Linked DNA regions of Callithrix jacchus. The protein of the gene in region 1 interacts with the protein of each later gene in a pairwise test. Links are inferred from orthologs where the notes say so. Each region holds a gene or a part of one and is shown in the gene's direction. Other genes may lie near its edges.

Evidence for each region.
Region 2: the proteins of C2H5orf22 (region 1) and ELOF1 interact in binary tests that used the Homo sapiens proteins (3 or more experiments, as listed by UniProt). The two-hybrid records come from large-scale screens. The link is inferred for Callithrix jacchus from reciprocal best matches to the Homo sapiens genes C5orf22 and ELOF1.
Region 3: the proteins of C2H5orf22 (region 1) and WBP11 interact in binary tests that used the Homo sapiens proteins (3 or more experiments, as listed by UniProt). The two-hybrid records come from large-scale screens. The link is inferred for Callithrix jacchus from reciprocal best matches to the Homo sapiens genes C5orf22 and WBP11.

What each region holds. Positions count from the first base shown.
Region 1 is NC_133503.1:173,753,109-173,762,986, reverse strand, and holds the start of C2H5orf22 (UPF0489 protein C5orf22 homolog), read left to right. Parts: upstream 1-5,130; 5' UTR 5,131-5,230; coding exon 5,231-5,311; intron 5,312-7,414; coding exon 7,415-7,560; intron 7,561-8,773; exon of another isoform or gene 8,774-9,869; coding exon of another isoform or gene 9,870-9,878. Other genes in the region: DROSHA (ribonuclease 3), read right to left, coding at 1,967-1,986.
Region 2 is NC_133523.1:10,696,429-10,706,365, reverse strand, and holds the start of ELOF1 (transcription elongation factor 1 homolog), read left to right. Parts: upstream 1-5,206; 5' UTR 5,207-5,471; intron 5,472-9,937. UniProt on the Homo sapiens protein: Factor involved in transcription-coupled nucleotide excision repair (TC-NER), a mechanism that rapidly removes RNA polymerase II-blocking lesions from the transcribed strand of active genes.
Region 3 is NC_133510.1:8,521,810-8,531,977, forward strand, and holds the start of WBP11 (WW domain-binding protein 11), read left to right. Parts: upstream 1-5,008; 5' UTR 5,009-5,042; exon of another isoform or gene 5,043-5,193; intron 5,194-5,224; exon of another isoform or gene 5,225-5,444; coding exon of another isoform or gene 5,445-5,688; intron 5,689-5,977; coding exon of another isoform or gene 5,978-6,145; intron 6,146-6,444; coding exon of another isoform or gene 6,445-6,455; exon of another isoform or gene 6,456-6,621; intron 6,622-7,069; 5' UTR 7,070-7,113; coding exon 7,114-7,177; exon of another isoform or gene 7,178-7,704; coding exon 7,705-7,736; intron 7,737-9,079; coding exon 9,080-9,173; intron 9,174-10,168. Other genes in the region: SMCO3 (single-pass membrane and coiled-coil domain-containing protein 3), read left to right, coding at 1,808-2,485; uncharacterized protein LOC144577829, read left to right, coding at 5,445-5,688, 5,978-6,145, 6,445-6,455. UniProt on the Homo sapiens protein: Activates pre-mRNA splicing. May inhibit PP1 phosphatase activity.

The sequences.
Region 1 (9,878 bases):
CTGCCCCATATCCCATTCTCTCTTCACAGTCAACACATAACTAGTCTCCTACCAAACAGAAACACAAAAACCATCAGAAAAGAACTCCTTCAGCTTCTCCTACCATTTCTACAATGGATCCCATTCCAGCCTCTCCCAATTCCCTCCTCCTGACAAAGCCTATCCTGCCACAAGTGCTCTGGATCCCATCTCCAAATGCATATTTGGGATTACCACCCTCCCACTGCAATCTTCCACCTCTCCCCACCACCAGACCCTTCACATCAGCATTTGAAAGTGCTTGGGTTTACTCCAGCATAAAGTACTGTCCTTGGTCTCCAGGTTTCCCTTGTCTTTGCCCCTTCTGTGTCCTCCCCTTCACAGTCAAATGACCAGAAAAAGTGGCTGCAGACTGAATGTTTCTGTCCACCCGAAAATTCATGCTGAGGAAACCCTAATACCCTACGGGTGTCCACCCCAAAATTCATGCCGAGAAAACCCTAACGCCCAGTGTGATGCTATATAGAAGTGGGAAATCTGAGATGCAACTATGATGCGATTAGTACCCTTACAGAGAGAGGAAGAGAAAAGAAATCCCCGCCACCACCCCTTGCCAAGTGAGACTACAACAAGAAGGCAGCCACCTACAAGGCAGGAAGAGGGCGTGCATCCGAAACCTGGCTGTGCGGGCACCCTGATCTTGGACTGCCAGCCTCCAGAACTGTGAGAAATAAGTGTTTACTGCTTAAGTTACCCAGTCCATGGCATTTAGTCATGGCAGCCCAAGCTAAGACAAAAGCGTATACACTTCCAACTCACTCTAATCCAACTTCAGCTTCTGCCACCAATCCAATGAGTGTCATGATCAGTGTTCACCTCGTCTTGAAAACCAAAGGTCATTTTCAATCAACTTGCTTGATCTCTGTTGGATCAGTCCAGTTTCCTCCCCGCTTGCCTCTCCAGCCCCCACCCCCATGGATGCATTTCTTGGCTTCCTGACATAACACCCTCACTGTGGCTTTCCTACATCTCTGGCTGTTCCTCATGCCAGCTTCTCCTCTGCTAGGGGGCCTTTAACAGTCTGGTATTCTTCAGGGGTCTAGCCCAGGTGCTCTGCTCGCTCTCTCTTCCAAAGTGACACTACCTACCCACATTGCTAGAATTACCACCAATCTGTCAGTAACTCCCAAAGTTACATCTTTAGCCCCCAACTTCTGAGCTCCAGACCCTCACTACTAATTGCCAACCTGATCTCTCTCCTTGAGTGTCTCACTGACTCTGCAAATTCAACATAACATATGCTAAAACAAATTAATTACCTTTCCCTCCAAGACAAACATTTGCTCTTTTCCTAGTATTTCCTATTTCAATAAATGACACCATTAATGGTTCTTAAGACATATACCAGGGAATCAATCACCTGACTTGTCCTCCCTCACCCCCCATCCTTAGCTAAAATTTTATTTTAAAATTGCTATCACTTATATGGCAACTATCCCTTAATAAAAAATAAACAAAAATTCCTATTGTTTCTGCTTCATAAATACTTCCTGAATTAATCTACTTCACATCATCATCTCTTGCATAACTATTACAATAATATCCTTGCTGGCCTTTCTACAACCCTGTCACTGCCCCCAACGATTCGTTAGGTTCCTTGTTCTCACAACACTCTCTGTTGCTTCTTAGCAGGTCCTACAATAATTACAATCCACCTACTAAGGACCTAATTCCACCTTTAATGTCTACTGCACCTCAGAACTGTAAGGGCTATCAAGGCAGGCTCTGGGATTTCCATTAACAGTTCTGGTCTGGCTTTCTAGCCCTGTGCATGGCCCTCTGTTGTACTGTGCCCACTGCTGAAAGAACGGGCATATTATCCTGTCTCCCCAAGTATCTAAATCCTTTCCACCCTCTATAGGCCAGCACCAATGTTTGTTCCTCTCTCTGTTCTCCTAACTACTGCCATTCCCATCACAACACTCACCATGTACTGCCTTGCATCATGATGCACTGCCTGGATATGTCACATCTTCTACAGAGAATATGAGCTGTAAAAAACAGAAAGAATGAAACCGACATAAACATGTTTCCCCAACTGCCAATGCTAAAAAGTACTTCCGCAATTACCATAACACTGATTCTGCAGTTTCCAATACACTTAGCCTACTAACAAAATTAAAAGCGTGTTGAACTGCATTAAAGTTTCCAACTACATTTTTAAATGTCCTTAAATTTTAAAATGTCCTTAGCACTTTGGGAGGCTGAGGCAGGCAGATCACCTGAGGTCAGGAGTTCGAGTCTAGCCTAAGCAACATGGAGAAACCCTGTCTCTACTAAAAATACAAAAGTAGCCAGGCATGGTGGCACATGCCTGTAATCCCAGCTACTCAGGAGGCTGAGGCAAGAGAATAGCTTGAACCCAGGAGACAGAGGTTGCAGTGAGCTGAGATCATACCATTGCACTCCAGCCTGGGCAACAAGAGCAAAAAATAAATAAATAAAATAAAATAAAATGTCCTTATTACTAGTTTTGCTGACTCAAAACTATCACCAGCTCAAAAGACTTAAATCATAGGCATAGATCATCTCTACTTTGTTAAAAGACGAGGGGAAAAAAAATCATTTCCCCTCTCCCTCTTCATATTCTAGTTTCCTTCTTGGTAAAAACATGTAGGCATAGACCAAACACAAACATCACAGTGAGGCCAGCATTCCAATTCAAACATAACCATAATCTTGTTAACACAACAGTTACGATTCTTGATTTTCATTCTCAGTTCCTCCCACAGAAAAACATTGTAAACATGAATGATTTTCCAAATACTTGAACTTCAGCAAAACATCCAAACAAACTCATAAATATTGAGTACAAAAAGCTTTAACATAGAAACATACTCCTAAAGTCTTTCTAACTAAAAGTCTCACCAATAGAACTTTACTGTGTAGACTTTCGAATGGCTCATGAAAATAATTTCAGATTATGTTATCAATCACTGTGCTTAATAAATAATGGGCACCAAATAATATCTGATTTTTTTTTTTTTAGAGACAGAGTCTTACTCTGTCCCTAGGCTGGAGTGCAGTGGTACAGTCATAGCTTACTGCTGTCTCTTACTCCTGGGCTCAGGCAATCTTCCCACCTCAGCCTCCAAAATAGCTAGAACTACAGGCCCAACTCCTGATTATGATCCAGTCCCATACCCTCATGATAAACCTGGGGCCCAGACAGCTCCTGCCACCATAGGCTACTCACTGACAACAGAATCAAGTTCAAACTCTGTGCTGGCATTTAAGACCCTTGAGACTCTGAACCCAGGCTTGTTCTCCGGTACCTCCTGAAAGAGCCTACTACCCCACATTTTCCCAACTGATTACCATACAAGTACAAAGAACCACCTAGTTCTTTCCTCCCATTCTCCTCTCTAAAATCTCCCACCCTAGGCGGAGGTTGCAGTGAGCTCAGATCACACCATTGCACTCCAGCCTGGGCAACAGGAGAGAAGCTCCATCAAAAAAAAAAAAAAAAAAATCTCCCACCTAGGAATTTGTCCAATGAATTTCCATCCATCTACCAATCTCAAATGCCACCTCCTCTATGAAGCCCTTCCTGATTCCCTTAAGTAATCCTATTCCCTCTATACTTAATTCATTCACTGCACTTACCAGAGGCTGCCTCACATCATGGTGAAGTATGCAAATGTCTAACTCCTCCACTAGATTATAAGTTCCTTGATGACATGGGTTGATTCAGTCATGTCTGTATCCCATATCCTTCGGGAAAAGCATCCTTCACACTGTAGGTGGTCAATAAATGTTTACTGTCTCACCATTAGTATGTTTCCATGTTGCTACTGTACATTTCCCTTCCATGTACCTCCACAACAGAAAGCAGACCTTTTCACTGATTCAGGTGACATTTAATGAGCCCATATATGGGAAGCACTGTCCCAGGCCCTGCAGACTCAGAGATAAGAAAGACATACAGCCTGTAGGGTTCAAGGAACTCAGAACCCACATACAAATAAGTTTTTTTTTAAATACAAATAATGCAATAAACACAAAAAGGAGATATGTGCAGGTCTTAGGGAACACAAAGATGTATGCTGAACCTAGAGGCGGGCAAAAGTCAGGGTCATAAACACTCTTTTACAGTGCGTAACAACAGCTGAACATTCACTACCAGATCCTTGTGGATGTTTTTGTAGTTAGAAAATCTAAAAATACTAATCATGAAATTGACCTATTAAAGGCACAATCCGGCTGTGTTGTGAATGCAAACTTTACTTCCAAAGTCAAGGAATTCACTGCACCTGGAAAAGTAACTGTTTTCTCCGTCTCTTCTCAGTTGCTGTTTGAAAGCAGAGACACTGAGGGAGCCGTCTTGAATAGTTAACACGGCCAGGAACGTCAGTACATGTAAAAGAGTTGTAAAGTGTGACTACACTTGTATTGAGACCTCCCTCTTTCCCCAGGTGGATCTGCAGGGCAGTCACCTTCATCCTGCTCTGTAACTGCATGCTTAGTGTTTGCATCTCCCGCCAGACCTTGCGCCCCACTAGACAGGCGCTGAGCTCAGGATCTCGCTCCCCTCCGAGAGCCGGGCGGCCCCAGGCCTGGACCACAGCGTGTACTCCGCAAATGAATGAAAGGTCTCCTTTTTCACTTCCATTTATTTGCGGAATCCAGGCCTAGGGTCGTTCTTTTGCCCTTAGCTGCAGATCGGAAATGGGGCTGCCCGACCCCAATTACCGGACGCCTTTCACCCCAGCCCCAGAGACTCCAGCCCCGTTTAAATTCTGACACTCGGAAACTGTCTTTTAACACTTGCAAAGTACCCCTTTTACCTATAAAAGGCTCTCAGGCCGCGAGATCCCCGTCAGAGCAAAGCCAGGCTACTACTGCAGGCACCAAGACCCTGGCGCCGCTCGAGCCTCCGGAACAGGAAACCGAGGGAATTAAAAAGCAAATCTGAGAAAGCTGGGCCAAGGGAAGAAAAACGCTTCTGCCCACCGCAGGGCCTTGTACGCGGTGATTGGACACGTCAAAGAGAGCGATGGACGTCTACACCAATAGTCAGTAAAAGACCCTTTGGAGCCTGCCCTCCCTCCTCCTAAATCCTCCAATCCAAAAACGCAACCGGGGGAAGGCGTGCTTCCGCCGGGAGAGGGGAAGCCGGACTGAGGCGCCTGCCTTCCCGGGTCCTTTCCAGCTGCCACGGCTTTGCTGCAAAGCTGACGGGCGCAAAAACATGAGTGACACCGCCGGATGGCCCACTGGCCTCCGACGTTACCCGAAGCTCCCTGTATGGGTGGTGGAGGATCATCAGGAGGTGAGCGGACGGCGACCGGGCTCTGGGGCAGAGTCGGCGACGCCCTGACGCTCCGAGGACCAAGCAGACAGCGTAGCCTTAGCCTCGGAGGCCTGAGAGTTAGCCAGAGTTAAACTGCCCGATTACGTTGCTTGGGGAAAGACACTAAAACAGCTAACTAGGAAGAATAGGAACTAACGTTTCTGTGCGCTTCCTACGGGTCGGGGCAATGTATTTACCTCGGTTTGCCCCAAATCCCAGGACCAAACCACTGGTAGGGTCGGGACTCGAACCCGGACGGTCTGGCTACAGAGCCCCGTGTCCTTAACCTGCAGTTAACTCTGGCTTCCAAATGTCTCCTGGCATCGCCATCACAGCCGTGCTGTTTAGATGGGAGGCTTTATGCTTGGAACCTGGGCTCTGATCTGAAATGGGGACAGCAATCATAGGACTCACGTTAGGAGTATTATTGTGTACATATTGTGTTTAAAAAGTTTTTTTGTTTTTTTTTTTTTTGAGACGGAGTCTTTCTCTGTTGCCCAGGCTGGAGTACAATGGCGTGATCTCAGCTCACTGCAGCCACCGCCTCCCGGGTTCAGGCGATTCTCCTGCCTCAGCCTTTTGAGTAACTGGGACTACAGACTCCCGCCACCATGCCCGCCTAATTTTTGTATCTTTAGTAGAGACATGGCTTTGCCATGTTAGCCAGGCTGGTCTGAACATCTGACCTGAGGTCGGCCTCCCAAAGTGCTGGGATTAAGGCGTGAGCTACCACGCCCGGCCCGTATTGTTTTAAAAAAAAAAAAAAAAAAAAAAACTTAACACGGTGCCTGCATATATAAATACTAAAAAGGGTTTCCATGTTTATGGCCGGGCTGCTTTACAGTAGCTAAATTGGTGTCTTAATCTAGACTTTTCCAAGTCAACAAAGGAGGCCCATGGATCTAACAAATTTGTTTTAAAGTAGCATCAGTAAGCTTGGGGATGTGAAGCGGTTCTCTGGATGTTAAAAAAGAAGGATTTACTGACGGCGAAAATTAATAGGAGAGGAAGATAGGTTTCTCAGGACCTAGATATAATGTCTATGACCTTGAGAGAATGAGAAAGCCTGGGTTAGACAGTGCTTTCAAATTAGGTATTAAACCTAAAACTAGAGAAGATGGAAGAGGAGAAATGGCCTTTACAGACCACCTAGCCCAACCCCACCATTCTCAGGGTACCAGAAAGACCCTAACCAGCCTGGACAGCAGAGCGAAACCCCACCTCTACAAAAACTGAAGTGAAAGAAATAGCTGCATATAGTGGCATGTGCCTGTAATCCCAGCTACTCAGGAGACTGAGGTGGGAGGATCTCGTGAGCCCAGGAGTCCAAGACTACAGTGAGCCATGACCACATCACTGCTCTCTAGGCTGGACAACAGAGTAAAACTCTACCTCTTTTTAAAGAAAATAAATAAATAAATAAAACTTTGAGACCTAGGGTACCTTGAACACCTCATTAATGTTAGAACAGGCATTAAGCCATAGTTTGTTCCTGAGCCCCAGTCCTGGTCTGTTTCCCCTCATGACCTGTTGAGTTCAAGGTGGCAGCAGGAAGGTAGCTGGAGGTGCAAATTGAAAGTTCTGAGGACAAAGTAATATTTGAGATTATCATCTGCACCATTTACAAGAAACAAATTTTTATCTTTTTCCACTTTTTTTTTTTTGAGACAGAGTTTTGCTCCTGTTGCCCAGGCTGGAGTGCAATGGCATGATCTCAGCTCAGTGCAAGCTCCACCTCCCAGGTTCAAGTGATTCTCCTGCCTCAGCCTCTCTAGTAGCTGGGATTACAGGCACCCGCCACCACACCGAGCTAATTTTTTTGTATTTTTAATAGAAACGGGGTTTCACTAAGTTGGCCAGGCTGCTCTCGAACTTCTGACCTCAGGCAATCCACCTGCCTCAGCCTCCCAAAGAGCTGGGATTACAGGCGTGAGCCACTGCACCTGGCTCTCTTTTTCCACTTTTTCACAACATAGTATGCTTTCGATATGTACACTGTTTAGCATTGTTTTTCAGTCTGCAGCGGGGTATGTGCTCATGGTTTCAGTATTAATTCTGATTGTATGCCTCTGTCATTTACAGGTTCTACCCTTTATATATAGGGCCATTGGCTCAAAGCATCTTCCTGCCAGTAATATAAGGTTTTTACATTTTGATTCACATCCAGACCTCCTTATTCCTGTGAATATGCCAGCAGACACCGTGTTTGATAAGGAAACACTCTTCGGGTAATCAGTGATTTTATTCATGGTCTTTTGTGTTTGAAGTACAATTCACAGATAATAAGCAATTATAGCAAATAGACTTTGCTAACCTTATGGGTTTGGGGAGTTTTCATTTCTTTTTGTCTTTTTCATTTTATTTAGAACAAGTGTTGACAACTTTCTTAAAGAGCCAAATTAGTAAATGTTTTAGGTTTGCTGGCCATATGGTCTCTGTTGCCACTACCTATCTTTGCCTTTGTAGTATGAAAGCAATCAGAGGCACTGTGTGAATAAATGACAGCGGCTGTGTTCCAATAAAACTTTATTTACAATCTGGGCATGGTGGATGAGTCTGTAGTCCCAGCTACTCAGGAGGCTAGGGTGGGAGGATCACTTGGAGGCCAGCAGTTCCAGGCTGTAATCAAGCCTGTGCATAGCCTCTGCACTACAGACTGAGCAACGTAACCACACCACACCCCATCTCTTAAAAGAAACAAACAAACAAAAAAAAAACTTTGTTTACAAAAACAGCCTGGCCAATGTTTAATATTTGCTAAAACATTACAGACACCATTGGATTCTCATGTCAATTTCTGCATTTAGTTCATTGCCATATGTTGTTTTGATTGAAATATATGCTGAAAATTCAGGCTTTCACAGACATGTAATTGGAAAAGGAAAGAGTATTTTCATAGCCTTTTCAGATAATAGTCTGATAGTACAAGAAAACTTGACAGGTAGTAGTTTATGAAAGCTTAGCTGAAATGTGGAATTCAGCAATTCAGTGTCAAGTGTGAATAACCATAGTTTATTGATCAATCCTTTCAAGATAAATGGTGCCCAGCTCGAAGTTCAGTCACAAGTGCTCTTCCTTAAGACAGCTGTTATGCTTCAAACTGTATAGCAGAAGAGCTTTCAGTGCATTTCTGAATTTGCCACACAGAATATTTAAAAATGTATACTTAGGGTGGAAAGTTAATAAAATTGAGATATTCTCAAATGAAACTTTTTTATTTATCTATTTATTATGCTGGTGGTTGGTAATGAAAAATACAGTAACTACTAACAGTTTGGTGTTGCTGCCTTAATTAATGTTGGAACATCAACCCACCATTGCCTTTGTACCATCTTTGCAAATGTCAATAAATGAAAACAGGAAATAATACCTTAGTACTTTTTTTTAAATTCATTTCCTTTGGCCTTGATTTGGTCTTTTTTTATTTTAATTGCATTTTAGGTTTTGGGGTACATGTGAAGAACATGGAAGATTGTTGCATAAGTACACACATAGCAGTGTGATGTGCTGCCTTCCTCCCCATCACCTATATCTGGCATTTCTCCCCATGCTGTCTCTCCCCAACTCCCCACCCCCCACTGTCCCTCCCCTATTTCCCCCAATAGACCCCAGTGTGTGATGCTCCCCTCCCTGTGTCCATGTGTTCTCATTGTTCAACACCCACCTATGAGTGAGAACATGCGGTGCGTGATTTTCTGTTCTTGTGTCAGTTTGCTGAGAATGATGGTTTTCAGGTTCATCCATGTCCCTACAAAGGACACAAACTCATCATTTTTGATGGCTGCATAGTATTCCATGATGTATATATGCCATATCTTCCCTGTCCAGTCTATCATCGATGGGCATTTGGGTTGGTTCCAGGTCTTTGCTATTGTAAATAGTGCTGCAATGAACATTCATGTGCATGTGTCCTTATAGTAGAACGATTTATAATCCTTTGGATATATACCCAATAATGGGATTGCTGGGTCAAATGGAATTTCTTTTTCTAGGTCCTTGAGGAATTGCCACACTGTCTTCCAAGTACTTTTTTTTTTTTTTTTTTGAGATGGAGTCTCTCTGTCACTCAGCCTGGAGTGCAGTGGTGGCATGGTCTCGGCTCACTGCAACCCTCCACCTCCCGGGTTCAAGCGATTCTCCTGCCTCAGCCTCCCGAGTAGCTGGGATTACAGGCACCCACCACCACACCTGGCTAATTTTTGTATTTTTAGTAGAGATGAGTTTTCACCATGTTGGCCAGACTGGTCTTGAACTCCTGTATTTTTAGTACAGACAGGGTTTCACCATGTTGGCCAGACTGGTCTCGAACTCCTGACCTTGTGATCTGCCGACCTCAGCCTCCCAAAGTGCTGGGATTAGAGGCAGGAGTCACTGCACCCAGCAATACGTCAGTACTTTTATGAAAATAGTTTTGTCATAGTGATGTCCCAGAAAAAGCCTCAGGAACCACCAAGGGACCACACTTTGATACCTGTGGTCTTAAAATATTGTGGATGAAATTACACTTGGGGAAAAAAAAAAAAAACTAAAAGTTTTAATGTTGTCT
Region 2 (9,937 bases), on another chromosome or scaffold:
CACCATGTTGACCAGGATGGTCTTGATCTCTTAACCTCGTGATCCACCCGCCTCGGCCTCCCAAAGTGCAGGGATTACAGGCGTGAGCCACTGCGCCCGGCCTTATTTAACATAAGTTCTATGGGACATGGGAACCCTGAAAAGGAACTGAAGACCCAAAGAGGAAGTTAGAGTGAAGCCTTTATCTACTGAATTAAACAAACAGTAGCAAATTATGGATGAGCATGGTGGCTCACGCCCGTACTCCCAGCACTTTGGGAGGCCTAGGCGGGTGGATCATGATGTCAGGACTTTGAGATCAGCCTGACCAACATGGAGAAATCCCGTCTGTAATAAAAATACAAAAATTAGCTAGGCATGGTGGTATATGCCTGTAATCCCAACTACTGGGGAGGCTGAGGCAGGAGAATCACTTGAATCGAGGAGGCGGAGGTTGCAGTGAGCAGAGATCACACCACTGCACTCCAGCCTGGGCAACAGAGAGAGACTCTGTCTCAAAAAAAAAAAAAAACAACAGTAATAAATTATGGATGGGCGTGGTGGCTCACACTTGTAATCCCAACACTTTGGGAGACCTACATGGGAGGACTGCTTGGGCCCAGGAGTTCAAGAACAGCCTGGACAACACAGGGAGACCCCATCTCTAAAACAACAAAAAATAAAATTATGGCATGCACCTGTAGTCCCAGGTACTCAGGAGGCTGAGACAGGAGGATCACTTGAGCCCAGGAGTTTGAGGCCGCAGTTAGCTATGACTGCGCCACTGCGCTCCAGCCTGAGCAGCAGAGTGAGATCCTGTCTCTACATAAATACATAAATAAATAAAATAAAAATTATAAATAAATACATAAAGTTTTTAAAGGGTAGTAAATTTTGAAAATGTGACAAGACAAAGGGGTTTGGGCTGCAGCATTTAATGGTGGAAAAATAACCAGAAAAATAAGTGTTTGCTTAACAAGGTTGTTTATGAAGGTGGCCAGGTTGGGGGGTTGAGAAAAAAAATTCAAAAAAATAAAATAAATGAATAAAAAATAAAAACAAAAAAGGAGATTTGTTTGTCTATTTTTTCCCTGAGCTTTCACTCCCTGTCTTCTCGTGATAAGAATTTTCCACCCTAGGGCTGGGTATGGTGGCTCATGCCCATAATCCCAGCACTTTGGGAGGCAGAGGCAGGTAGTTCACTTGAGCTCAGGAGTTTGAGACCAGCCTGGGCAACTTGGTGAAACCCTGTCTCTACCAAAAATACAAAAAGTTAGCTGGGTGTGGTAGTGCATACCTGTGATCCCAGCTACTCAGGGACAAGGCGAGAGGATCATTTGAGACTAGGAAGTGGAGGTTGTAGTGAGCCAAGATCACACCACTTCCCTCCAGCCTGGGCAATGGGATAAGACCCTGTCTCAAAAAAAAAAAAAGAATTTTATTTTCTTTCTGGTTTGAGGAGGGCATCTTCCATGTGGGGGTTTATCTCATTTTCCAGAAGAAAAGAGGGAGATCACAGTGGTTTTCGGCACCTGCTATTTTTCAAGTGCCCTTAGCTCAAAACAATCCATATGCCAAAGTGGCATATTTTGGTGGCATCATCTGCCACCCTCAAAATGAGAGACGGTTCGTAGCAGCTGTAATAACTGCTCAACACTGGCAACAATGCGAAAACCAGTCATTAACAGGTGAAAGGATTAACAGAGTGTGAGACAGTCATTTAACAGAATACAACTGAGTAATAAAAAGAAACAAAACTGGGTGTGGTGGCTCATGCCTATAATCCTAGCACTTTGACAAGCCAAGGCAGGTGGATTGCTTGAGCCCAGGAGCTTGAGAACAGCCTGGGCAACAAGGCAAACCTTGTCTTTCTTTTTTCTTTTGAGACAGAGTTTTGCTCTTGTTGCCCAGGCTGGAGTGCAGTGGCACAATCTCAGCTCACTGCAACCTCCGCCTCCCAGGTTCAAGGGATTTTCCTGCTTCAGCCTCTCGAGTAGCTGAGATTACAGGTGTTCACCACCACACCTGGCTAATTTTTGTATTTTTAGTAGAAATGGGGTTTCACTATATTGGCCAGGTTGGTCTTGAACTCCTGACCTCAGGTGATCTACCCGCCTTGGCCTCCCAAAGTGATGGGATTGCAGGCACGAGCCACTGCGCCCAGCCTGGTGAAAATACAAAAATTAGCTGGGCGTGGCGGCGCACAGTTGTAATCGCAGCTACTTGGGAAGCTGACGTGGGAGAATCGCTTGAGCTTGGGAAATTGAGGCTGCAGTGAACCATGATGGTGCCACTGCACTCCAGTCTGGGTAACATAGTGAGACCCCATCTCAAAAGGAAATAAAAAAGAAACCACTGACATGGCCAACAACATGAGTTTCTTTTTTGTTTTCGTGTTTTGTTTTTTTGAGAAGGAGTCTGGCTCTGCCGCCCAGGCTGGAGTGCAGCAGTGCAATCTCGGCTCACTGAAACCTCTGCCTCCGGGGTTCAAGCGATTCTTCTGCTTCAGCCTCCTGAGTAGCTGGGATTACAGTTTGCGAGCCACCATGCCCGCATAATTTTTGTATTTTTAGTAAGGACAGGATTTCCCCATGTTGGCCATGTTGGTCTTGAACTCCTGACCTCAAATGATCCACTCATCTTGGACTCCTAAAGTGCTGGGAACATGAGTGAGTTTCAAACATCACATGCTGGGGAAAGAAGCCTCTCAATAGGCTACGCATTGTATGATTCAGCTTATATGACTTTCTGAAAAAGACAAAGTTATAGGAACCAAAACAAATCTGTTAGGGCCAGGGGCAGGAGTAGGGGACAGAGCATGAAAGGGCAAGAGAAAATTTCTTTTCTTTTTTTAAGATGGAGTCTTGATCTGTCACCCAGGCTGGAGTGCAGTGGCACAATCTCAGCTCACTGCAGCCTCCCTCTCCTGGGTTCAAGTGATTCTCCTGCCTCAGTCTCCGGAGTAGCTGGGACTACAGGCATGTATCACCACATCTCGCTAATTTTTGTATTTGTAGTAGAGACTACAAGGGCTTTCACCGTGTTGCCCAGGCTGGTCTCAAACTCCTGGCCTCGCGTGATTCGCACACCTTGGCCTCCCAAAGTGCTGGGATTGCAAGTATGAGTCACCATGCTCGGCCACTGGTAAGAGGAAATGTCTTAGGGTGATGGAAATAATCGTCTTGATTGTGGTCATGTTTTAATGATATACCTGTATGTCAAAACATGCAATTTCAGCCAGGCATAGTTTAAATATGATCAGTTTGTGTTCAGTGAATTACATTGTAACAAAGCTCAGAAGGAGGGAAGTAAGAGAGGGAAGGGACAAAAGGAGAGAAAAAGAGAAAACTTATATGGCAATCATAAACAAAATGAAAGATATATACACCCTGTGACTCAGAAATGTCTTTTTTTTTTTTTTGAGACAGAGTTTTGCTCTTACTGCCCAGGCTGGAGTGCAATGGTACGATCTCAGCTCACTGCAACTTCTGTCTACCAGGTTCAAGCAATTCTCCTGTCTCAGCCTCCCAAGTAGCTGGGACTACAGGCATGTGCCACCACACCAGGCTAATTTTTATATTTTTAGTAGAGAGGGGGTTTCACCATGTTGATCAGACTGGTCTTGAACTCCTGACCTCAGGTGATCCACCCAACTCGGCCTCCCAAAGTTCTGGGATTACAAGTGTGAACCACCGCACCAAGCCATCATTTATTTTTATTTTATTTTTAGAGACAGGGTTTCACTATGTTGCCCAGGCTAGCCTCAAACTCGTGGGCTCAAGCAATCCTCCCACCTTGGCCTCCCAAAATGCTGGGATTACAGGCGTGAGACACTGTACCCACAAGTATCATTTTTTGAAAACTATGCCTCACTAAAGATCCAGTCCCAGTCCTAAGAATTTTGATCCAGAGACTAACTGCATCATCATAGTGGCAAAACTCAGGAAGGTCCAGGAATTGTCCAGCAGTAGGATAACAGTTGATTTTATACTACGGCAAAGTTGCACTATGAATCGTGTAGCTAATAAAAACGGGAGTTAGGTATACGTGTATAGACGGTTAAGTGGAAACAGCAAGTTGCACGGTAGCTGTATGATTCCATCCTGTGTGGATTCTAGTTCGTGCCAGCACTGAAAAAGGGTCTCACAGGAGGGCAGGTATACTGGTTACACTTGACAGTTCCCAGGGTATCACTGCCCCCTAGGGGACATCCTAGAGATCGCGCTACAGACAGTCCTTGATTTGACGGTTTTAAGATTTTTCAACTTTATTATGATAGTTTTATCGGGATGTAATCCCATCGTAAGTCAAGGAGCATCTGTATTTGAAATACATTTCATTACAAATTATCTTCCTGAACACTCTAATGCAACAGCTCTTATCAAGGTCCCCAGAGACCTTGCCAAATTCAACTGTCAATTCTTTTTCCTCATTTTAACTCAGGGACACATGACACAGCTAACCACCACCCCCCCCATCTTGAAATATGTTCTTCAGGTCGGGCGTGGTGGTAATCCCAGAAATTTGGAAGGCCAAGGCGGATGTATAACTTAGGAGTTCGAGACCAGCCTGGACAACATGATGAAACCCCATCTCTACTAAAAATACAACAATTAGCTAGGCATGGTGGTAAGCACCTGTAATCCATCTTGGTGACAGAGCAAAACCCCGTTTCAGGAAAAATAATAAACAATAAACGTCCTTAGCACGGCCCACGAGGCCCCATGGAATCTGGTCCCAGCCTGTCCATTCAACCTCATCTATTACAATCTGGGCACTAAAAATGTGGTCTGCTGACCAGCAGCGTGGAAGTCACCTGGGAACGAGTTTGAAATGTAGCCTCTCAGGCCTCCCTCTTCATCTGCTGGATCAGAACCTGAATTTTAAAAAGGCCCGCAGATAGATGCTCGTTAGAGTTTAAGTAGAGCGTCTTACAACCTTACAAGCTTCCCCTTCACCCTGATTCGGTCATAAGGACATTTCATATTCCTCACTTTTTGCTCCTGCGAACTGACCAGAAGAACCTGCCTTGCACGCAGCTACAGATAAATACGCTCCGGCTTTTGCGCAGGCGTACTACGACTACCGGCTCGCTCCTATTTGAATACGCGTGCGCTCAGAGCCCCGGCGACAAAGGCGGGGCCTATTTGCTGGGCAGTCCCGGCCGGGGGTGGGCGGGACCTGAAAGGAGGAGAGGGGTTTCCGCTTCCGGCAGAAGTCGGAAGTCACTGTCTCCCGGGTAAACGGAGCTTTTGCAGCGAGGCAAGCTGAGTGCTGGTGCTGATCGTGCAGGTGGGCGTTGGGGCCGGGCAGGACTGGGAGTTCTTCTACTCCGGGAGTTTACGGGGTCCTGGAGGAGGCGTCTGGGACCCCGGGCTTGTGGGGAGGCAGGTCGGGGAGACTGACTCCCCCCGACCCCATCCTTCCAAGAGCGACCTACCGGGGCGCCTGGCTCCTCCCGGCGGCCGTCGGGAGGCGATGCCGAAGACTCGGTGAGTCTGTAGGAATAGCCAACCCCCTACCTCTTGGGTCTCAGCAGATTCGAGGATGACTTCTTTGCCATCCCCTTTTGGCGCGCTTGGACTTAACGTTGTCACCGGACAGGCCGAAGCCTCTGCAATCCTTATGCAAGCCAGACCCCATTCATGGGGTGGGGGGGACTGTAGTCCCTGGGCAAAATGAGATTCTGGGGCTCATACATAGATTTTATTTGGACTTTTTTTTTCTTGAGACAGAGTCTTGCTGTGTCGCCCAGGCTGGAGTACAGTGGCGCGATCATAGCTAACTGCATCCTCGACCTCCTGGGCCCAAGCTTCCCACTTCAGCTTCCCGAGAGTAGCTGGGACTACAGGCTCGTGGCTAATTTTTGTAATTTTGTAGAGATGAGGGGCCTCACTATGTTGCTCAGGCTCGTCTCCCACTCCTGGCTTTAAGTGATCTTCCCACTCTGGCCTCCCAAATTGATGAGATTACAGTCCTCACCTCCCAAAGTGATAGAGTTACAGGCATGAGCCACCACATCCGGCTTTTTGTAGATTCAGATTCCAGGGACTGATTGATTGGGTTATTCAATAATAGTTATTGCCGGGCACGGTGGCTCATGCTTGTAATGCCAGCACTTTGGGAGGCCGAGGTGGGAGGATCGCTTGAATCTGTGAGTTCCAGACCAGCCTGGTCAACACGATGGGTTCCCTGTCTCTCCAAAAAATACAAAACTTAGCTGGGCATGATGCTGCAGCTAATTTGTATTTCAGAGATAGAGGGGTAGGGGGAGGATCACATAAGGGATGTGTGAGAGAGAAAGGGATTGACGATGAATCCAAAGTCTTTGATTTGATTATCCAGAAAGATGGAGTTGCTGTTAGCTGAGATGAGGAAGACTGTGGAAGAGCACGTTGCGGTGTCAGCGGCTTGGTTTTGGACATGTTATGTTTAATATTGGGTGGAAGTTAGACATCAGGGTGGAGCTGTGGCTGAGGCAGACAGATCAGAGTCTGCAAATCAGGGGACAGACTCAAGGCTGGAGAAGCCAGTATCCTCAGTGTAAAGTAGGCATGAAGCCCTAAGACTGGGAGAAATCTTCATGAAGGTGAGTATAGCCAGAGAGGAGAGGATTCAGCGATTCAACTCCTGGATTCTCTCTCTCTTTTTTTTTTTTTTGAGATGGAGGAGTCTCACTCTGTCACCCAGTCTGGAGTGCAGTGGCACAATCTCGGCTCACTGCAACCTCTGCCTCCCGGGTTCAAGGGATTCTCCTGCATCAGCCTCCTGAGTAGCTGGGATTACAGGCGTGCACCACTACACCGGGCTAATTTTTGTATTTTTAGTAGAGATGGGGTTTCATCATGTTGATTAGGCTGGTCCTGGACTCCTGACCTTGTGATCCACCCACCTCAGCCTCCCAAAGTGCTGGGATTGCAGGCATGAGCCACTGCGATGAACCTTTTGTTTTGTTTTGTGTTTGAGATGGAGTCTCACTCTGTTGCCCAGGCTGGAGTGTAGTGGCATGATCTTGGCTCACTGCAACCTCCACCTCCCAGATTAAAGCGATTCTTCTGCCTCAGTCTCTCTAGTAGCTGGGATTACAGGCATGTGCCACCATGCCCAGCTAATTTTTGTTTGTTTGTTTTTTAAAAGACCGTGTGGTCAGGCTGGTCTTGAACTCTCGACCTCATGTGATCCGCCCACCTTGGCCTTCAAAGTGCTTGGATTACAGGTGTGAGCCACCGTGCCCCGCCAAGTTTTGTATTTTCAGTAGAAATGGGGTTTCACCATGTTGACCAGCCTGGTCTCCAGTTCCTGACCTTAAGGGATCCACCTGCCTCTGCCTCCCAAAGTATTGGGATTACAGTCCTGAGCCACTGTGCTGACCTTTTTTTGTTTGTTCTTTTTTAAAGTTGGAATCTCACTGTCACCCAGGCTGGAGTGCAGTGGCATGATCTCAGCTCACTGCAACCTCTGCCCTCTGGGTTCAAGTGATTCTCTTGCTTCAGCCTCCAGAGTAGCTGGGACTACAGGCATTCACCACCACACCCAGCTAATTTTTGTATTTTTAGCAGAACGAGATTTCACCATGTTGGCCAGGCTGGTCTCCAACTCCTAACCTCAAGTGATCTGCTCACCTTGGCCTCCCAAGGTGCTGGTATTACAGATGTGAGCCACCGGACCTGGCCCAAACTCATGTGCTCTCTTCATGAGAGCAAGTTGGCAGAGAGGCAGGAGCATAGGAGATTAACAGGAGCCACCAGTGAGGCAGGGGATAGGGAACATTTGGGGTCCTGAGAGGCACGTGAGAAAGGTGGGAGGAGGGACCCCTGGAATGGGAGGACTGCCATTGGGATGGGCAGTATGGAGCCACCTCAGTTTGGAGGCAAGGGGTGTAGAGAGATGGGAGGGAGTGCAGATGGCTCTACGATAAAACAGCCTGCAGAGAATGGATCATAGCTGGAAGAGGATAAAGAGATTTTTTCCCCCCTTTTTAAATGAGGAGAGAGGTAATAACAAGCATGTGAGTGATCTGGTAGAGCTGGAAAATTTGATGGTGCTCAAAGAAAAGGGGATGGGAGCCAGGGCAGAGTGAACAAATTGTTTTTGCAGAAACATACTTCCATAGTAAAGGAGGCATGCCGAAGCCGGGCGTGGTGGTGCACGCTTGTTGTCCTAGCTACCCAGCAGGCTGAGGCCAGAGGATTGAGGCTTCAGCAAGCTGTGATCACACCACTGCACTCCAGCCTGGAAGTTAGGAGTTGGAGACCAGCTTGGCTTTGTTGATCTTGTCCAACAGAGTGAGACCTCATCTCTTAAATAAAGAGGAAAGGTGAATAGCTGAATGAATTGGTCCTAGGAGCTGTCTTTGGATTGCTTTTCTTTACTCAGTGAATTGGCAGCATCACAGTTAAGAGCTGGGGATGTTACATAGGAAGCAATCACCAGATAATGAATAAAACTCCCGTTTATTGTGGAAGATCCTGGCAGGCTGCTGACCTCCCCTGTCACGGAGAAACGAATGATGCTAGAACCAGCAGTTGTGTATGTGTGGGGTGTGTGTGTTTTGGAGGAGGCGCCACCATAGGAGGCTCAGGGATGGCAAACACAGTGCCTGAACACCGTGCCTAGCAGGGCAGTTGGTTCATTGGTAACCACTGCTGTTTCCCCACCCACCTGCCTCCTGGACTTCTCTTCCTAGATATCCCTCTGCCACCCAACCTCATCATTTTCTCCAAAACCCTGTCCTTCCTATGTGTTAGACATCAGAGAATGTTGTCAGCTTCTCCCGCTACCCATTGTGTCCCCACCACAACCTTGGGAGTCATCCTGGACTCTCCTCTCGTCACACTCGCTCGTTCCGCCCATGTCTCTTCTGTCTCTCTCACCCACTGCCATCTCTACCTCAACAGCCCTGTCCTGGCTGTGCCTAAATCCCTCAAATGCACAGGTGACTTTGTCCTTTCCACTCCTTGTAGCTCCCAGGATCCATCCAAACACCCAGAACCCTCCCACCTGCCCCTCCTCCATCCCCCACCTGCCAGGGGACAGACACCTGCCCCTGAGCTTTCACACAGTTTTCCTGTACTCGGAGGTGCCTGTCCCCACCTCTCTGCCCTGCAGTCTGTCATCTGGATGGAGGTTATCAGATGCCCTGAGTGTCACTTCTCCTGGATGCCACTTGCATTTCCCTTGACAAGAGGAGCAACCAGAATAAAATCACCAGCTCTGGGCGTGGTGGCACGCACCTGTAATCCCGGCTACTCAGGAGGCAGGAGAATCACTTGAACCCGGGAGGCAGAGGTTGCAGTGAGTCAAGATTGTGCCACTGCAGTCCAGCCTGGCAACAGAGTGAGACTCCGTCTCAGCCAGGCGCAGTGGCTCACTCCTGTAATCCAAACACTTAGGGAGGCTGAGGCAGGCAGATCACCTGAGGTCAGGAGTTCGAGACCGGCCTGACCAACATGGAGAAAACCCATCTCTACTAAAAATACAAAATTAGCTGGGCGTGGTGGTACATGCCTGTACTCCCAGCTACTTGGGAGGCTGAGGCAAGAGAATCACTTGAATCCGGGAGGGGAGGTTGTGGTGGCTGAGATTGTGCCATTGCACTCCAGCCTGGGCATCAAGAGCGAAACTGTCTCAAAAAAAATTTTTTTTTAAATCACTAGCTCCTAGGCACTTAGGCTGTGCCCAGTCCTGAACAACTGGCTTGTCTTGGAGTCTCTTGTGCCATCCTTGCCAGGAACAGTGGCTTCCTTGTTTTGGTGCCAGAGTGATGGGCCAGCTCTGTGCTAAGTACTTAACTTACTATTCCTGGTGTCAGCCCCACAAGTCTCCTCTGAGATGGCAGCATTGTTTCGATTTTTTTCTTTCTTTCTTTCTTTCTTTTTTTTCTTTGATACAGGTTTTCACCCTGTTGCCCAAGCTGGAGTGCAATACCTGGATGGTAGCTCACTGAAACCTGGACCTC
Region 3 (10,168 bases), on another chromosome or scaffold:
TAAAAATGAATTTCTGACCATGGCGATTTATTTTACCAGGAGGTTCCAGTGCATTTTTTCTAAATCTAATAACATACATGGTTATTTATGTTCCAAACCATTTCAGAAAATTTTCCCTTTTCCTTTTCCAAATTATATTCGTACGATTTGGAGGATAGGTTGTTTTCAGGTTTACTTTCTTGAAAGAAAAACATCTTCATTCCTTCATCCCATGCTTCTGAGGTTCCCCTTAAGCAGAATAAGAACCCTGGTGCACAAGACAGAGGGTCCAAATTAATTACAATGTTGTTTACTCAAAAAGAGACTGTGCCAGATTCCACATGGATGTGGATAGAGAACTTTTTTTCTTTTCTCCCAACGTTTTAATTTAAAAAAAAAAAATAAAAGTGCCAGCCACATAGAAAGGCTACTGAAAGTATGCATATTGAATAGCATCGTGATTTTATTGGCTCAAATTTAGGTTTTTCATCCAAATAAACACAAGAGCATGACTGTTAGTGGTTTCTAAATGGTACCGTAGGTCAGAAGGACAAACGCTGAAGCCTTTTATCAAGTTTATTTTATTAATTCTATGATGTACCCTCACCACTTCTTTTTTTTTAGACAAAGTCTCACTCTGTCACCCAGGCTGGAGTGCGGTGGCACGAGCTCGGCTCACTGCAACCTCCTCCTCTGGGTTCAAGTGATTCTCCTGCCTCAGCTTCCAGCAACAGGCCTGCACCACCACACTAATTTTTGTATCTTTAGTAGAGTTGGGGTTTCTCTGTGTTGGTCAGGCTGGTCTTGAACTCCCGGCCTCAAGTTATCCACCTGCCCTAGCCTCCCAAACTGCTGGGATTACAGGCCTGAGCCGCGGTGCCTACCCCCTTATTCTTTAATACTTTTGTAAAATGCCATTTTTTTTTTCTGACATTAACTCTAACTTATCTAAATAATGCCCAGGTGCAATACTATTTAGACCATTCTAAATAATTTAATTTATATGCTTTGCAAATGGAAAATCACAAAGATAGCCATGTGCTTATCTCTGATTAATATTGTGCCTTGTATAGTGCCTACCTTCTCCCCACATGAAATTTTAATCCATAGAGTCTTGAATATATACTCTTATCCCCAAAAAAATTTTTAAAGATTCTAGCATAATATGTATGTTGCCTTTGGATATCCCTTAGGTTTAGAAAACAAATAATTTGCCTGTAGAAAAATATAAAGTGATTTGAGTATTTTAAATTAAAACCACCAAATATTGAAACACAAAAAGTAGCCCTGTAAATTCATAGTTATGAATATTCATCTGGCCCTGATTATCAATTTAACTCCAAATGCTAGAGAAATCAGTCTGGTAGGCATGGTCGATGTGGTGAGTAGGGGTTGGGGAAACTAAGGAGCTCTAGTAATCAAGAGCTAAGCAGTTCAAATTGGGGTGTGTTTCAAATAAATGTTATTAAATATTACCTGGAAACAATCATGCTTATTAATAGATGCTTGAGAGACATGAATATTTCCCACCATCACAAAATCTAATGCCTTAATTTATTTCCCACCACAAAATCTAATACCTTAATGTATGCATCAAAGGGGTTGTATTCTGTTGCCTACATTCTTCATACCGACTCCAAATTTCTTAACAATAACTGTTTTAAAGAACCTGTTGAGCATTCTGAGGAATTCTCCTTAGACAGCATATTGCTTCTTTGCTATTCATGATGAAAAAGATTTCCTAGTCCCTTCTACACAGTTAGCAGATATTTTTTAAGACTTTGAGTAAAAATGTACCATTTTATTTTTCAGCGATCACACTGGAAATATGGCCCAAAGTGACTTCCTCTATCCAGAGAACCCAAAGAGGCGGCAGGAAGTAAATCGTCTTCACCAGCAGCTCCTTGATTGCTTATCTGACAGCTTCGACGTCACCAATAAGCTGACTGAGGTTCTAAATGTGCACTTGGGGTGCAGGCTGGCCTCCATTGAGATGAAAAGAGACGGGACTATCAAAGAAAACTGCGACATCGTCATCCAAGCCATTAGGGACATTCAAAAGGAAGTGCAAACGGTGGATGAAGCACTAAAAGATAAGCTAGAGCCAACCCTCTACAGAAAACTTCAGGATATTAAGGAAAGAGAAACAGAGAAAATTGCGATAGTGCAAAAGGTTATTTCAGTCATTCTGGGAGAAGCTACATCTGCAGCCAGTGCAGTCGCTGTGAAACTTGTGGGCTCCAGTGTCACCACTGGCATCATTAACAAGTTGGTCACTGTGTTAGCACAAATTGGTGCTTCTCTCCTTGGTAGTATTGGAGTTGCTGTTCTTGGCCTTGGCATAGATATGATTGTCCGTGCCATCCTGGGAGCAGTGGAAAGAACACAGCTTCAAGCAGCCATCAAAAGTTATGAGAAGCATCTGGTGGAGTTCAAGTCAGCCTCAGAAAAATATAATCACGCTATTACTGAGGTCACCAATACAGTGAAACAGCAAATGAAATGAACAGCCATTTTATCTGCACTGGAATGTTTTTCTGCTTCCTTTTCAGTAACATGTTTGTTTCTTTGATTAGGTTCATTTTTTAGATGCTTCCAATATGGACTTGGAGAGGGAAATTAGAGATGCCAAGACTAGATGACTAGATGAGTTTTGAGTCAACAATGGCTGGATCAGTTGGTGCTAGACCCTGTGAGGTAAAAGAAATCATATCCCTGGATGTTTTCACACCCTGCTCTACCAGATTAACATCAGGGTAAATGATATCACAGAGTGCAAGTATAGGGGTTACTTTTTCCTTTTCTAATTTCATAAAAATTCTTAAATTTTACATTGGCAGAGACTCTCATTTCTATCACCAGCTTCAAACATGATTTAGTTATAATGGGACATACTTAGTAACTTCTGCCTAGAAATAAATTGTGGGCCTTTGAATGGGACAGAAACACTACCATATTTTTGACCATCAGAGTAAATCTGGTTTTCTGTAAACTGGAAGAGACTGAAAAACAGTTTGTAACAATTTGCTTCAATTAGGACAGGAAGAAGATCTGTAAACATCTACTAATTACATAATGTAAACTGGATGGATTTTAAAATGGTAAAAATCAAAACTAAAAACATAAAGGTCCTGTTTCTATAACTGCAATCAACCCTGACCAACTGTGATGATTAAATATGGCTCAAGTGAATTTTCAAACACTGAAACATTTAAAAGACAAGCAAGCTAAGCACAGCTACACATGAATAAAATGCATTTAGGATGCAGAATAGAAGGTCAGTACTTTTAAAGCATTTGTCATTTAAAGGAAAATCACAGTTTATTATAACATAAGTTTTCAGAAAAAAAATACATAGTTTCATTTTCAACACTAGCAAAAAGGAGGCAGCTGCCTTTGCTACATGACATATTAGGTGAGCCATGTCACTAAGTACCTAATTTCAGAAAGCGCCAAAGTCCATGGAGGCCTAATGGTTCAGCTGAACCTCTGCAGATGTGTTTGTTTTCTCAATCCTTTGTCAATGAATAATTCCCAAGAGGACTCTTTTAGTCTATACTGACAAAATTATTAATATGCTGTTGATGCCAGACTGTTTGTTATAGTTGATTCTCCCATCCAAGTACAAGAAATGTATTGAAATAAAAACTGCTCAGCATATATTAAAAATATTAGCTAGATGAAAAATTTTAGCTACTTGACTTTACTATTTCCAACATACACTTTGTTTTCTCTTTCTTTTCTAGCATTGTTTTTCAAAACTAGTTGCAAAACTATGACCACTACTATGGTGCAGAGAAAGAAAAAAACACTAGCTGCAAAACATTACAACTTAGTTCACCTTCAACATTCAAGATTATTTTCTGTTTAATGTATTACCTGGTTTATCAGCTTTAACCTGTAAGATCTTGTCATTGCTTTCTGAGACTCAAATTCAGTCTAAAGTCAAATCAAGAATTTCCTAACACAAAGGTAAGTTTAGGTATTGGAATGATAGGAATGCTCTTACACCGCTAAGGGCAGTTTAAAGATTCTGCTAAAAATTAATATGTATCCCCACCAACATTTGAAATATTTATAACTGATGGTAAGAATAGCCTTCCTACATGGGATACTCAGGTTAAGGTTAGAAATAACTAAGTGTGTCCTGTAGGATAATTTTTTAAATGTTTAAACTTACCTTTAAGGGAAATAAGTGGGGGTAGACTCAGGGAAAGAGAGGCTAGAAGGTACGGAAAGAGGGAGTAGAGGGTAGGGACGAAGCCTAGAGTTAAGTGAATAATCCCGTACGTAGAGTGACATCATAGAGGACTTTTGGCTGATGAAAATCCCGTACGTAGAGTGACATCATAGAGGACTTTTGGCTGATGAAAAGACCAGTCTGGAATAGAGCCAATATAGATCAACTTCCCCACGCATAAATTTAAAACCGACTGCATATGTATGCCCCTATCTCCTCTTCAAAACAATACTAATAAATAATAAATCACCGCCCGTATAAGCAATTTGCGACTCTAACAAGGGTGCCGATTTATTTGTTCAGGTCTACGAATGTTCTGTTCTGCCTGCCTATTAAATTTCCACACGTACCAGGCGCCCACATGGGATAACCTGGTGCTTACAAAGCAGATTAAACTCAGTGGCAAATGTTATCTGGGTATTCGTCCACAAACTGAAACACCCCTAGAGGATGGCACCTGCCTGCATCATAGGAAACATAAATATCCAAAAACTAATGTAATTCTATGAAACAGAAAACGCAGAACACTTCTCTATCTGCAGAACGCACGGTTCTCTGACAGCTCAACGCACTAAGATCCCAGCAATCAGGTCAGAACGCCTCCAACTCGAGGCAGGATCGTCAACCAATCAGATAGCAGTTTTCGTCTTCTAATTCCTATTGTACTAGATACTCGCAGTGAGGCGGGCTCTTAGCCGATAACCAACCAATTGGGTATTGTATGGAGCCGGAAGCGACTCTGGTCCTGGATTCTCGGGTATTCTCTATGGTTCCGGGACTGAGCTACGCAGAGAGAAGGCTGGACGGAGGAACGGGAAATGACGTAAGGATTGCGGAGGGGCGCGAGGTTTCAAGATGGCGGTAGCTGAGGTGTTGACCGAGGGGCTGAGTTGAAGGCCCTTACCGGTAAAAGAGGCCGGGAATCGCTCCCTCCCCGCTTCTCGCAGTCCTGGGAGCACAGCAGAAGTGTGAGTGTATGGGATTGCTTTTCTACTCTTTCCTTGTCTCTTTGGTCCCTTCTGCGGCCCGCGCAGCGGCTTCAGGGACACCCAGCCCCTCTGCCCCGCTCCTCCTGTGGGGTCTCCGGTTGCGGACTGGGGTATTGCTGGGCCTGGGGTGGCGCGACGACCAGCGGTTACGCGGTTGGCTTCGCCCGGGTCGGTTGGGGCGGCTTCCTGTGCACGTTGATTGGTAGCCTTGGGTTTCACGTCTCGTACCTGGAATCATGGTCGGTCAACCGTCGCTATGGTTTCGGCAGTTGCTGCTTTTGCCTCCTTTGGTGAACCTGGACCCTATGTCATTGAAGCCTCTTTGGCTATTTAGAGTTCCGCAACGGTTATTTGGCCTGATTTCCCAGTCGGCCCCGCTTGCAGACGAAAAACTAATCTGTGCAGACTTAAGCGCCAGTATCTTCCGTGAAATTCTCTGCAATTCGTTGTGTTTCATTTGTGGGGGAGGAGATTCAGAACGTGAGCCTGAGGACCCTTAGGAGAGCACGGAAACGCACCCAATCAAAGCTTGTATTTGTACTGATTTTGCTTGTTTTCCTCCTTCCCCACGTCCTGCTCCCTGCTACTCTCCCACCACCCAGTTTTTCTGACAAGGAAACCACTTGACAGGGTATATGGGCCAGGAATGTAGATCCATTATAAAGATTATAGTTAAATAGTGAGTCAGACATCACAGGATGTGTTTTTTTGTAACCTCATTGTATCCTCAGAGCTTTGTTGTAAAGTAATTAATGTCCCCATTTTTTAGATGAGAAAGCTGAAAATCAGAGCCTTTGTCACCTTCGTCTTGAAGTAATTGCCAGCAAAACAGCTCTGAAACATCTGGCGGAAATCGGGGCAGTTGAACACTTGGTGAAAGAGAAATTAACTCTAATAAACTCGTCTGACAAAATCTCCCCTTTCTTACCTTTAAAAGGTGCCTACTTGGAAAAGGAAGCAAATTTGTCCACCTTTATTACTGGAAAGACTGGGCTTCAAAAAATTAAGCCCCATTCTTTTGAAATAAGAGGAAGAAGTCATGTAATATTGATTGTACTGTGTTAATAAAAGTTTTAGCTTATAAAATATTTTTTCCTCAAACATAAGTATTATTTTTAATTACCTTAAGAAATATATATTGGGAGCCAGATATTGGTAAGAAAATATATATATCTTAGTATTTAAGTTGTGGGGACCTCTTAATATAGCACTAATTTCAAATATTTGCATTTTCAGTTGTGTTTTGAACTCTTGAGCGTCAAGAATTATGTCCGAATTAGAACCGAATCTGAATTAAATATGCTTAAATCAGTGAGAATTAAATATGCTTATATCAACAATTTACTGTTTTAGAGGTGTTGAGAACGTACAGGATACATGCCAAGAAAAACCATGGAGAGAGGCAAGGGCGAGGTATTTGTTTTGAGCCCAGATTTATACGCTCATTCCCTTCTTCTTCTTTTACAATTATATGTTAATAAAGGGACGTTATAGTAGAAGGACTAATGGCTTCTGATGTTCATGGTTTGTGTCATACCGTTAACGCATTTTCAATTTTTTTTTTAATCAGTTGACATAGTCAATGCTGTGATCCATAAAAAAGGGTTAAACTGATGACTTGAGCATATTCGAAGTGGGCTTCACATTCATCATATTTCTAAAGAATGATAGAGATCTAAATTTTCATGGTCAAGAAAGTTGATGCCATCTTTCGTGGACATTAAAGTCAAAACTAAGGAAAGAACGGTCTCACAGAATTTATAATTAAAGGAATGTTTCTTTTCAGAAATTAGTAAGGACTAGAAAAAGAAATAAATAAATATAGAAGATATAAGCTGTTTCTTTGTTTTCACCTTCACAGGTTTTTCTTTTTTAATGAACAAGTAAACCATATAGATTGTCAACATGGGACGGAGATCTACGTCATCCACCAAGAGTGGAAAATTTATGAACCCCACAGACCAAGCCCGTAAGTGGCCATTGGTGTGGAATGATGAAGTAGGATGGTGTTAAAAATTGCAAATATTAGGGGGTTTCTTTCCCTGTGGCTTAATTGCAAGACCAGCAGTGATAAGAGGAGTAAATTGTATATTTAGTGTTTGTATGGGCACATGATTAAGACTTTAAACATGCAAATAAATAAATTAGTAACAATATTTTTCAAATTTGATTGACTTGCACAGTAGAATTGGCTGAAAGCTTTCTCTTTGTATTTGAAATTTTGAGCAAATTAGTTTTGCAAGCCCTTGTTTAGCATTTTATGTTATCCTTTTCCTTCAGACTCATAGTTGTTTTTTATGAAACATTTAAAATGTCTTCACATTTTTGTCGTAATTTGAGGGATGCTATTGGCATGTAGTGAATAGAGGCCAAAGATGCTGCTATTTTACAGTGCATACTATAACTCCCCACAGTTAAGACTTGCCTGTATTAAATTGGAGGAAATGCTAACGTTCAAGATTCAAAAGTTTTATTATATCTCCCTCTCTTTTAAAGGAAAGGAAGCCCGGAAGAGAGAATTAAAGAAGGTATGATTTCAGAAGCGTCTTGTAAAACTTTAAGTATTGTTTGGCACATCTTGTGATTTGGGATTAGTGGGTTTCAGAATAACGTTTCTAATTTTATGAGAAAAGATGCTTTATGCTTTTTATAAAAACTGTGAAATAAACTAAGCCAAAATTTACTAAGGAACTGAAGTAACTTTGCAGAGAAGCTCACACAGGTTATAATGATATTTGACTACTTTTCCCAATGAGTTATATACTTTTGAAAATCATTCTTTTTTGTTATTTATTAAAACATAACTTTTAAAGCCTACTGATGAGAATGGAAATAAATATGATGCTAGACAGCTTTATATATCCATTTTCCTGATTAGCTGTATATTATGTATATTACATTAGCTTAACTATATATATTGGTTTCTAATATTTATAGCTATATTAGCTTTATGTATCCATTTTCCTAATTAGCATTTTCCTCTTAGCTGTTGGATTTGTGACTAAGTACTTCAACGGAATAAGAAAGAATTTGCTTTATAGTATTGTGCCTTAATACATAGAAGCGACACAGATTTTAAATAATGTTCAATTGTGTCTTCATGTTTAGCATTAAATTCTGCAAAATTTTTAAATCTTTTTTTTTTTTTTTTGAGACGAATTCTTGCTCTGTCACCCAGGCTGGAGTGCAGTGGTGGAATCTCGGCTCATTGCAACATCTGCCTCCTGGGTTCAAGCAGTTATCTTGCCTTAGCGTCCCAGGTAGCTGGGACTACAGGCACCTGCCACCACGCCTGGCTAATTTTTGTATTTTTAGTGAGACAGAGTTTCACCATACTGGCAGGCTGGTCTCGAACTCATGACCTTTTGGTCTGCCCACCTCAACCTCCCAGAGTGCTGAGATTGCAGGTGTGAGCCACTGCACCCAGCCGAAATATTCTTTATATAATTTCAGCACTTAAACCTTTGAGCTTTTTTTTTTTTTTTTTTTTTTGATAAAGAAAATTTTGGAATTCAGCTAGCAGAGGTTTTAGAACAGGGGGCAGGAACAATCACCCGAAGTCTTTAAGAAAATAAGAGGTAGAAAAAAAAGAAATTTAAAGTATGTATGTGTGTTTAAGTAACTGCTAAAGATCTCACAGAGTTAAAAGAAATGCTTTCCTAAGAAAGCACATCTTAAAAATAGCATTCATCTTTTTGAAAGGTCTAAACGTTTTTAAAGCAAAAAAAATTACATAGCTGTTTCTGGTGGTTGAAACAAGTGATCAGAAGCCAAGGAGTTCAAAATTCTGTTTAGATTCTTAAAGCAAGTTGAAATAAAACTCATGAGTGTCTGACTTGTTGACGTTCTGCCCCTCTTTTATTTTTATAAGAACAAAAAACAGCGCATGATGGTTCGAGCTGCCGTTTTAAAGATGAAGGATCCAAAACAGATTATCCGAGACATGGAGAAATTGGATGAAATGGGTAAGAATTTACAAACAGGCAGCTGTAACAGTCTGGTACATACAGAGGCAGACAGGTAATGAGTGAAGCAGCATAGGCGTAAGTAAAACAGAACAGCGCAATAGCATTTGATGCTTGGATTTAATGTTAGTTTCGGGAGGCAAAATGGAGTGCTAGAGGGCTGTTGCAAACTGGAGACCCCAGATACCAGAATGAGAGGGGAGCAGTCATTTGGCTTTCAGCTAATTGTTACTATGAGAGAACAGAAGCTCAGTTTGGCCAGCTTGCTTTTCAGGAAAAGAATCTGGTTTATGAAATAACTTTGGGTTTTTTGTTTGTCATCTTTTATTTAATGCTGGCAACTACCATGTAAATCTAAGTATCAGGCCACTGTGAATATAAGGCATTTCCAGTTTATCCAAATTTTTAGCAAAAATTTCCAATTTTTAGCAAAGATGTAGAAAAAAATCATCGAATACCTAAAACCAAATATATAAAATACTATACCAGGATTCTTTGCCTTTTTCACATTCCATAGCATCATTTTATTCACTCTCCATGTGCATCTTAAGTATCGCTGCTTTGATATAACTGGAATCACGTGAAATGGCTGGATGTTATGTTTTTTTGTATCCAAGTTTGAGAATCATTGATGCCGCTGCGGGAAACTTTACCCTAACCCACAGATACCCTTTCTGTTTGATATTAGAGCATGCAGAATATTTTATTTGTTTCTTTTAATAGAAATTTTCAAACATGCAGAAAATAAAATAGTCTAGTTAACTTCCATGTGCTTTTCACCTGGCAAATTTTTGCCACTTTGTCTTCTACCCTTTGTCATCTTTTTAAAATAGTATTTTAAAGTGATCTTTACAAGTTCTATGATTTGTCCAAAAACAGAGTAGTAAGTAAAAGAGATGCAGTGAAACTCCTCAATGATACATTAAATGGAGTACAAAAAATCCAGTCATGGCATTATGCTATTAAAGGTTTCTGAAATAATGTCGGAGAATCTG